Linked DNA regions of Macaca mulatta. The protein of the gene in region 1 interacts with the protein of each later gene in a pairwise test. Links are inferred from orthologs where the notes say so. Each region holds a gene or a part of one and is shown on either strand. Other genes may lie near its edges.

Region 1 (3,347 bases):
GGACTTTCTGCTGGAAGCTTGCCCGGGACTGGCGGCCTCTGGAGGGACGGTGGTTGCTCCCCTTGCTGGTTTTTTGCTGAGCCCCCTGGTGTGCATGGTGGGGACCACTCAGATGGGGAGCTGTCTCCAGGCCATCTGCTCAGGTGGTTTTACGTTCCACCCTTGGCTGTCTGTGCTCCGAAGTCCAGGGCCCAGGTCCTCCCTGTATCCCTGTCCTGTTTGGGCCACAGATCAGGTGCTTGGGTTTCTCTTGGCAGCTTCCGCCTGAGGTACCCTCCTCCAGAGGAGCAGGGGCCTGATCAGATCACATGGCTGACGTTTCTTCCTGGAGGACTTTGGTTATCTGTGAGGGTGGGAGGCAGCGATGCAGGGTTAGATGCAGGGTTTGCTGTCTGTTTGTAGGGAGCGGCACCGGGGGGGCGTGGCCCCGGGCTTCCAGGTGGTACACCTCAACGCTGTGACTGTGGACAATCGCCTGGACAACCTGCAGCTGGTGCCGTGGGGCTGGCGGCCCAAGGCTGAAGAGACCTCCAGCAAACAGAGGTGGGTCTTCTCAGGGCCCGGTGATGCTGGCAGAGGTGCCTTTTGAGGAGGGCCACCTCCAAAGCTCTTGTTTCCAAGAGGGTCTCGTGTTCCTCCTCTGAGCCCTGATGCTTCTGTGTGTTTTGGGACTTTCATTGTTTTTCCCCAAAGTGTGGAATCCTCCTTTTCTTTATGGGAGCGTGAAGGATCTTGGTATGTGTTTTTGCATTGCTCTTCTGATAATTGGCTCTGGGAACCTCCCTTTAGCTGGCATGACAAAGCGGGGAGAAGGGCTGCCTGCTCCAGGGCAGGGCCCGCGCTGGGACTTGGTGTGAGCAGGGCTTGTGCCCCACACCCCGGGAGGCATCAGCCTTCTCACCTCAGGATTCCTCCCTTCTCACCCCAAGATTCCTCCCTTCTCTCCTCACCTCAGGATTCTTCCCTTCTCTCCTCACCTCAGGATTCTTCTCTCCTCACCTCAGGATTCTCTCCTCACCCCAGGATTCCTCCCTTCTCTCCTCACCCCAGGATTCCTCCCTTCTCTCCTCACCCCAGGATTCCTCCCTTCTCTCCTCACCCCAGGATTCCTCCCTTCTCTCCTCACCCCAGGATTCCTCCCTTCTCTCCTCACCCCAGGATTCCTCCCTTCTCTCCTCACCTCAGGATTCTTCTCTCCTCATCTCAGGATTCTTCTCTGCTCACCTCAGGATTCCTCCCTTCTCTCCTCACCTCAGGATTCCTCCCTTCTCTCCTCACCTCAAGATTCTTTCCTTCTCTCCTCACCTCAGAATTCCTTCCTTCTCACCCCAGGATTCTTCCCTTCTCTCCTCACCTCAGGATTCCTTCCTTCTCTCCTCACCTCAGGATTCCTTCCTTCTCTGCTCACCTCAGGAATCCTCCCTTCTCTGCTCACCTCAGGATTCCTCCCTTCTCTCCTCACCTCAGGATTCCTTCCTTCTCTCCTCACCTCGGGATTCCTTCCTTCTCTCCTCACCTCGGGATTCCTTCCTTCTCTCCTCACCTCGGGATTCCTTCCTTCTCTGCTCACCTCAGGATTCCTCCCTTCTCTCCTCATCTCAGGATTCCTTTCTGTGCACACAGATGGGTCTTTTTGTTGTGTTCTTTTGCTAAACGGTTTTCGTTAAGCAAAAGTTTAAAGCAGAGAATGTGTGGTTCAGGGCTCAGCCCTTGGCCCCCCACTTGCCTGTGATCCTGAAAGCAGTGCTTTGCATGGGCTTCCCACGTGGGAGGGCAGTTCCTGCTGGCCCTAGAATCAGCCAGGCTGTGAACTTCATGGAGCCCTTGGGAAGAGCCAAGGGACCAGCAGGATGGGGGTTGGGAACCCAGATGAGCCAGAGAGTCCCCAGCCACACATGCTTCGCTGACATGTTCCCCAGTCGCCCTGGGGCTTCTGGGCATGTCCTCAAGCCTCTGGGCAGCCTTTCCTGGTGCAAGCAGTGCGAACTGCCCTAGCAGATGGTTATCAGCAACGCTGGTAAGGTTTAGTGTTTTGGGCTTGGTGATGGTTGGTGGCTGTGGGTAGAATCTTTGCAGTTGTCACCTCAGGGTCATGCTAGAGCCCCGTGCAGCCGAGGTGGAAACAGTGGGAGCACCTGAGACACTGGTTGGTGATGTGGGGACAGTCCCCAGGTCTCCAAAATGCCACCCCCAAACTGCTGTTCCTGCCACCCTGGAGGGAGTCCTGCAAGTCTCCCCCATCCCCTCCTCACTGGGCCTCTCAGGATGAAGGCAGAGCCTGCGGTGTCTCTCGTTCTTGTTGGGCTAGTGGTTTTGTTCCCTGCTCTGTTTATTTAATGTAATTAATTAATTTTACAGATGGGTCTCACTGTGTTGCCCAGGCTGGTCTCAAACTCCTGGCTTCAGGAAATCCTCCTGCCTCAGCACTTTTTTTTTTTTTTTTTTTTTTGAGACGGAGTCTCGCTCTGTCCCCCAGGCTGGAGTGCAGTGGCCGGATCTCAGCTCACTGCAAGCTCCGCCTCCGGGGTTTACGCCATTCTCCTGCCTCAGCCTCCCGAGTAGCTGGGACTACAGGCGCCCAACACCTCGCCCGGCTAGTTTTTTGCATTTTTTAGTAGAGACGGGGTTTCACCGTGTTAGCCAGGATGGTCTCGATCTCCTGACCTCGTGATGCGCCCGTCTCGGCCTCCCAAAGTGCTGGGATTACAGGCTCGAGCCACCGCGCCCGGCCTTTTTTTTTTTTTTTTTTTTTTTGAGACGGAGTTTGGCTCCGTCGCCCAGGCTGGAGTGCAGTGGCGCGATCTTGGCTTGCTGCAGCTTCTGCCTGCCTGGTTCAAGCAGTTCTGCCTCAGCCTTCCTAGTAGCTGGGACTACAGGTGCCCGCCACCACGCCTGGCTAACGTTTGTATTTTTAGTAGAGACAGGATTTCGGCATGTTGGCCAGGCTGTCTTGAACTCTTGACCTCAGATGATCCGCCTGCCTCAGCCTCCCACAGTGCTGGCATTACAGGTGTGAGCCACCACGCCTGGCCCCGCCTCAGCCTTTTGAGTAGCTGAGATAACGGGTGTGCACCACCATGCCCGGTCCCTGCTCTGATATTAGAGTTTTGACCCTTCTCTCATACTGCTTGTGAGTGACGCCAATCCTCTTATGATTGTTGGATGGGATTTTTTTTTCTTTCGGGGATTATGTTAGCCGGAACTTTGGGTTGCAAGAAACAGAAACAGCTCAATTTGGCTGAAACAAAATAGGGTACGTTTTGGTATCCTGACTGAAATGTGGAGAGCCAGGGATGCTGCTGCCTCCAGCTCTGCGCCCCCACTCCCGGCTCCTCTCCGAGAGGCGG
Region 2 (3,228 bases), about 75 Mb from region 1:
AATACCAGCAGTGCCAAGGCAGTTGAATCACATGGTTTGTCGTCCCATTTTTCTTACCTAGACGTTCAGTCTTAGTGCTGGCCCTGAGGGTCTGTGTGATAAAGTCAGTTTCAAAGGCTTACAGTGCTGTCTGAAGACAGTGTCTGGTCCTCAAGATGCCTGGAGGCCATCTCTACTGCATATTTCCTTGGAGTCCAGGCCTCCCTTTGTGTTGGCAGTTCTAGCCCCACAGCAGAGGTTCCTCTTGAGATGGACATCTAGAATGGCCAATTCTTTTCATTCTTCAAACATTCTGAAGTTCTTTTCCTCCTGCAAATCTTCCCTTTATTTTTTTCTTTCACCTTTACTCTATCTGGAAATATAATGCCCTTAAGTGTGTGATATGAGGTATCAGAAGAACATGGCTTTGGAGTCAACAATACGGTTTAAATTCCAACTTAACTCGCTAGCCATGTGACTTTCGGGCAAGTTTCTTAGCTCCTCTGAGCCTTGTTTTAGAAATCTGTAGAATGGAGAGAATCATGCCCATCACAAAGGGTTATTGTGAAGATGAAACAAGATCATGTATGGAAAGACTTGAGCACAATTGACTGACATGTAGTTGGTATTCCTTAATTGTTAGAACCAGAGAGTAGAGTGGGTCAGATCGTGGGCTCTGGGTCTGAATTTGCATTTGTGCTTTTTCACTTCTAGCCAAGTGAGCTGGGACAAATTCTCTCATTTTCTGTGCATCTGTTTCTGCATCTATAAAACTGGCATTGATAGTACCCACCTTATTAGGACAGTCTGAAGATTAAGTGAGTTGATATATAAAGCACTTAGAACACTGCCTGTTATGTAATAAGTTTTATACAAGTGGCAGCCACTTTTCTCTCACCAGCCAATACAATGCCCTATTCCTTTGGAGTAGCATATTTGATATATGTGGATTAGATGTGAGGATTACAGGGTCACAGTGGGCTGTCACCCCACAGATGACCAGGTAGGCCTGGTTCGTCTGGCTGGTGGCCCGCCAGTGGTGGGTTGTGAATTGCCTATCCCACTATATCAAGTGGTAGCAGGGATGTGCTCTGTCGTTCCTTTGTCTCAAAGACTACTTCATTGGAGACTGGCTTATGACCTTCGGGCTCTGTAGAATATATGCAAGTTGGTTGACTTGATTTATTATTAATTACCTCTTCTGCTTTAATTTCAGCTGATTATTTGCCTTGGAACCAACCAAGGCGACAGCCACTTCGTCTGGAACACAAATACCAGCCAGCATCAGTCAGGTTTGATAATAGGACCACACACCAGGACGATTACCCCATAAAAGGCCTTGTGAAGACTGTGAGCTGTAAACCTCTGGCCATGCCAAAGCTCTGTAACATCCCCTTGGAGGATGTGACTAACTACAAGATGAGCTACGTGGCCCACCCCGTGGAGAAGCGCTTTGTGCACGAAGCAGAGAAGTTCAGGCCCTGTGAAATCCCCTTTGAAAGCCTTACCACTCATAAACAATCCTATCGGGGCCTGATGGGTGAGCCTGCTAAGAGCTTGAAACCTCTAGCCAGGCCCCCTGGGCTAGACATGCCTTTCTCTAACACCACTGAGTTTCGAGATAAGTACCAAGCTTGGCCAACGCCCCAGATGTTCTCCAAAGCTCCCATCACCTACGTCCCTCCTGAAGACAGCATGGATCTTCTGACAACAGTGCAGGCCCATTACACATACCCTAAGGGTGTCCCAGCTCGGTCCTGCCGACCTGCACCTCAGATTAGGAAAAGCGGTCGCTTTGAAGGCTCTTCCACCACCAAGGATGACTACAAGCAGTGGTCCAGCATGCGCACAGAGCCAGTCAAGCCCATTCCCCAGCTGGACTTTCCCACCGAGCCCTTGGACTGCCTGACCACCACTCGGGCCCACTATGTGCCCCACCCGCCTATCAATACCAAAAGCTGTAAGCCTCATTGGTCTGGCCCTCGAGGAAATGTCCCTGTGGAAGGCCAGACCACCTACACCATCAGCTTTACTCCCAAGGAAATGAGCAGGTGCCTAGCTTCATATCCTGAGCCTCCTGGCTACACCTTTGAGGAAGTGGATGCTTTGGGGCACAGGATATACAAGCCGGTTTCCCAGGCAGGCTCTCAGCAGAGCAGCCATCTTTCTGTGGATGATTCAGAAAACCCCAGCCAGAGGAAGTTGGAAGTGTCAGCCTGATTTTGAAAAATTGTAATTTAGAAATTACACAGTACTTTTAAAAGCAGACAACTGAGAATTATTTGTTGGACAAAAAAAGAATTCCCTAAAATGACAGAAAAAAACAAAAAACAAAAAAAACCTTCACCACTTCCAGAGCACTTGAATAAAATGAGAATTACTTGACTCAGGGAAAATGACATTTAATCACCGGCTAATTAACGCCCCTTAACTTCTCCTTTACTGCATCCCCACTCCGTTTCAGGTTCTTTACTTTGTGCTTATGGAATCAAAATTGGTCTCTGAGGTTTTCTCTAATCCAGATGTATTTTATTAATTTAATCATTGTATGAACGGACATAATGATTAACCCTTGCCAAGTATGAAGCACCAAAGAATAAATTTTATTTTGGGGGGAATGAATCTGTAGCTCTGTGTGTTTACACCCATGTGCTGGCTGTGCAGACATTAGTCTGTATTGCTTGGGACCTTTGGGAAATTTTACGTTAGCATCCCCACTGTGTGTCAGTATTGGTGGAGGTGCCTTGGGCCTGGTCTGGTGTCTTGTTTTGGGTTCTCTGTGTGCAGGGCTGCTTCACAAAGCATCCTTCTACCTCTTCACTGCATGACATACCAGCAAGAATACTGCTGTTCGATGGGGTGTGGATGTCTTTGGTCACAGGTGATGGAGGGAAAGAAAGGGAGGCAGGGATGCATGAACCTACCAGACCTCTCCCCAACCCCAAGCCAGTACAGGCTATGATTCCAGGGAGAGGAGGGAGAAAAAGCAGCCTTGGCAAGCAGGCAGTCAACACCTGGTCCTTGAGCTGTGAGCAAAAGCTGTGGGCTCTTCTAAATGCTCAGAGCCTGGAAGAAATTGCCCCAGGCTGGCCTGGTTTCTGGAGAGCCTGGATGTGCTTGTCCTAAAATGACAGCTGTGACCAGACCTGTGGCAAAGTTAGACCCAGTGGTGAGCCAGATTCCACCCTGGAGTTTCTCTCTTGAGCCTAAGGTTTTTTACCACGTTTGTTTCTAAGGCCAAGTAATTTA
Region 3 (3,649 bases), on another chromosome or scaffold:
AAGATCCTGATCCGCCCAACAGCCTTCAAGCCAGTGCTGCCCAAACCTCGAGGGGCTCCGTCCCTGCCTAGCTTCATGGGTCCTCGGGCCACCGGGCTGTCTGGGAGCCAGGGCAGCCTGACACAGCTGTTTGGGGGCCCTGCCTCCTCCTCCTCTTCTTCCTCCTCCTCTTCAGCTGCTGACAAACCCCTGGCATTTAGTGGCTGGGCCAGTGGCTGCCCATCAGGGACGCTATCCGACTCTGGCCGAAACTCACTGTCCAGCCTGCCCACCTACAGCACCGGAGGTGCCGAGCCAACCACCAGCTCCCCAGGCGGGCACCTGCCTTCCCATGGCTCTGGGCGAGGGGCACTGCCTGGGCCAGCCCGAGGGGTCCCTACTGGGCCCTCCCACTCAGACAGTGGCCGGTCCTCCTCCAGCAAGAGCACAGGCTCCCTGGGGGGCCGTGTGGCTGCCGGGCTTTTGGGCAGTGGTACCCGGGCCTCCCCTGACAGCAGCTCCTGTGGGGAGCGCTCACCACCACCCCCGCCTCCACCTCCTTCCGACGAGGCCCTGCTGCACTGTGTCCTGGAAGGAAAGCTCCGAGAGCGGGAGGCAGAGCTTCAGCAGCTGCGGGACAGTCTGGACGAGAATGAGGCTACCATGTGCCAGGTGTGGTCAGAGGCAATGATGGGGAAGGGGCATGGCAGGACATCCCAAGGCCTGGGGAATGAAAGGGGCATTTCCATTTTAGCAGGGAAGAGGGGTTGGGTAGTTGTAGTTGTGACCCCCCTGCCCTCCCCACCAGTTGTCTGGTTTAATTTGTGGAATAGCCAGACGTGGTGGCTCACATCTGTAATCCCAGCACTTTGGGAGGCCGAGGTGGGCGGATTGCTTGAGCTCGGGAGTTTGAGACCAGCCTGGGCAACATGGGGAAACCCCATCTCTCCTAAAAATAAATTAGCTGAGTGTGGTGGCATGTACCTGTAGTCCCAGCTATTTGGGAGGCTGAGGTAGGAGGATCACTTGAGCCCAGGAGGAGGAGGTTACAGTGAGCTGACATTTTGCCATTGCACTCTAGCCTTGGGTAACAGAGCAAGACTGTATCTCAAAACAAGAAACAAAAAACAAAACTTGTGGGGTGGAAAGGAGTCAGAGTGCATGGATTCAAACCTCCCACTGCTAAATACCAGTTTTTGGACTTGAGCAAGTTGCTTAACTTTATTCAGCCTCTATTTCTTCATCTATAACAGGGATATTTCTAGCTTCATAGGATTGTTATGAGGATTAAATAAGGCAAAAGGTGTAAAGTGCTTAGACTAATGCCTGGTATCTAGGAAATGCTATACATAAATGCTTGCTTTTTTTTTTTTTTTGAATTTTTAGTAGAGACGGGGTTCCCACCATGTTGGCCAAGCTGGTTTCGAACCCCTAGCCTCAAGTGAGGCACCCGCCTCGGCCTCCCAAACTGCTGGGATTACAGGCCTGAGCCACTGCACCCGGCCAAGTGCTTTTTTTTTTTTTTTGAGACAGGGTCTCATTCTCTCACCCAGGCTAGAGTGCAGTGGCGCGATTTCGGCTCCTTGTAGCCTCAACCTCCTGGACTCAAGCAGTCCTCCCACCCCAGCCTCCCAAGTAGCTGAAACTACAGGCACACGCCACCACACCAAGCTAATTTTTGTTCTTTGGAGAGGCAAGGTTTTGCTGTGTTGCCTAGGCTGGTCTCAAACTCCGGAGCTTAAGTGATCCACCCACCTCGGCTTCCCAAGATGCTGGGATTACAGGCGTGAGGCACCGAGCCCGGTCTGCTTGCTCTTGTGTTTGTTTCTATGATCATTATAAAAGCAGTTAGTATTGTTGCAATTACTATTGTTGTTTGATGGAATACACCCTTCCTGAGCCCTCAGAAGTGGGCCGCCAGGCAGACACTGAGTGGGGAGTTGGGAAAACTGCCCAGGAGCTGGGTCTGTCTTCTCGCCTGCAGGCATACGAGGAGCGGCAGCGGCACTGGCAGCGAGAGCGCGAGGCCCTGCGAGAGGACTGTGCAGCCCAGGCACAGCGGGCACAGCGGGCCCAACAGCTGCTGCAGCTGCAGGTGTTCCAGCTGCAGCAGGAGAAGCGGCAATTGCAGGATGACTTTGCACAGCTGCTGCAGGAGCGTGAACAGCTGGAGCGGCGCTGCGCCACCTTGGAGCGGGAGCAGCGGGAGCTCGGGCCAAGGCTTGAGGAGACCAAGTGGGAGGTGGGCCAGACCAGGAGGGGCAGGGAGCAGGGTCACACAGGGAGAAACCCTGGAAAAAGGGGCCCAGCCGCACCCTCCCTCAGCCTGCCACCCCCAGAGGTCCTCCCCTTCCTCACCTCCGTGAGATGAAGTTCTCCTCTGTTCCTTTCTGGGAGGAGGGTCTCCTTGTTGGCCTTGTCTAGTGGCACAAAGCCACGCTCCAGCCAGTAGTAAGAATGTGGTGTTTGTGGTGTGGAGGCACTCTTCTAAGCATGTTACATGGGACAGATCATTTCATCCTTATAACAACACTGAGGGGGCTACCACTAGTCTCCCCATTTTAGAGATGAGTAAACTGAGGCCCAGAAAGACTGGAGTGCCAAATCTGAACCCAGGCAGTCTGGCTCCAATATCTGAGCTCTTAACCAAGTCACTGTAGTACCTCTCCAGTAGACACCTGGGTACTGCCCTCCATTGCCCCCACTCCTGCAGCACCTGCCAGCACCCAGTCCCCAGGGCTCGGTGGTACTTCCACAGTGTCTCGTGATGCTTTGAAGACACCAACTTTGAAGCAAAAAAATCTATGTCTGCTTTCCACTTAAGCCACATCTTCACTCTATGACCTTGGACATGTCACTAGACTTGCCTCAGTGTCTCCATCTATAAAATGGGGATAAAGATGGACTCTCCTCCCGAATGCCCAGCATGATGCACAGGGCCTGTCCCCCCAGGAGAACCTGTCTCACCATCCTTCCCCACTGCCTCCCACCCCCAGGTGTGCCAGAAATCAGGCGAGATCTCCCTGCTGAAGCAGCAGCTGAAGGAGTCTCAGGCAGAGCTGGTGCAGAAGGGCAGCGAGCTGGTGGCCCTGCGGGTGGCACTGCGGGAGGCCCGTGCTACCCTGCGGGTCAGTGAGGGCCGTGCGCGGGGTCTACAGGAGGCCGCCCGAGCTCGGGAGCTGGAGCTGGAAGCCTGTTCCCAGGAGCTGCAGCGACACCGCCAGGAAGCCGAGCGGCTGCGGGAGAAAGCTGGGCAGTTGGATGCTGAGGCGGCTGGACTCCGGGAGCCCGCTGTGCCACCTGCCACCGCTGACCCATTCCTCCTGGCAGAGAGTGATGAGGCCAAAGTGCAGCGGGCAGCAGCCGGGGTTGGGGGCAGCTTGCGGGCCCAGGTGGAGCGATTGCGGGTGGAGCTGCAGCGGGAGCGGCGGCGGGGTGAGGAGCAGCGGGACAGCTTTGAAGGGGAGCGGCTGGCCTGGCAGGCAGAGAAGGAGCAGGTGATCCGCTACCAGAAGCAGCTGCAGCACAACTACATCCAGATGTACCGGCGCAACCGGCAGCTAGAGCAGGAGCTGCAGCAGCTCAGCCTGGAGCTGGAGGCCCGGGAGCTTGCGGAGCTGGGCCTGGCTGAGCAGGCCCCCTGCATCTGCCTGGAGGAGATCACTGCTAC

Evidence for each region.
Region 2: the proteins of ZMYND19 (region 1) and SAXO1 interact in binary tests that used the Homo sapiens proteins (3 or more experiments, as listed by UniProt). The two-hybrid records come from large-scale screens. The link is inferred for Macaca mulatta from reciprocal best matches to the Homo sapiens genes ZMYND19 and SAXO1.
Region 3: the proteins of ZMYND19 (region 1) and LZTS2 interact in binary tests that used the Homo sapiens proteins (3 or more experiments, as listed by UniProt). The two-hybrid records come from large-scale screens. The link is inferred for Macaca mulatta from reciprocal best matches to the Homo sapiens genes ZMYND19 and LZTS2.

What each region holds. Positions count from the first base shown.
Region 1 is NC_133420.1:4,866,594-4,869,940, forward strand, and holds part of ZMYND19 (zinc finger MYND domain-containing protein 19), read left to right. Parts: intron 1-402; coding exon 403-543; intron 544-3,347. UniProt on the Homo sapiens protein: May be involved as a regulatory molecule in GPR24/MCH-R1 signaling.
Region 2 is NC_133420.1:80,266,877-80,270,104, forward strand, and holds the end of SAXO1 (stabilizer of axonemal microtubules 1), read left to right. Parts: intron 1-1,195; coding exon 1,196-2,199; 3' UTR 2,200-2,597; downstream 2,598-3,228. UniProt on the Homo sapiens protein: May play a role in the regulation of cilium length. Stabilizes microtubules at low temperature.
Region 3 is NC_133414.1:113,067,060-113,070,708, forward strand, and holds part of LZTS2 (leucine zipper putative tumor suppressor 2), read left to right. Parts: coding exon 1-651; intron 652-1,963; coding exon 1,964-2,221; intron 2,222-2,975; coding exon 2,976-3,649. UniProt on the Homo sapiens protein: Negative regulator of katanin-mediated microtubule severing and release from the centrosome. Required for central spindle formation and the completion of cytokinesis.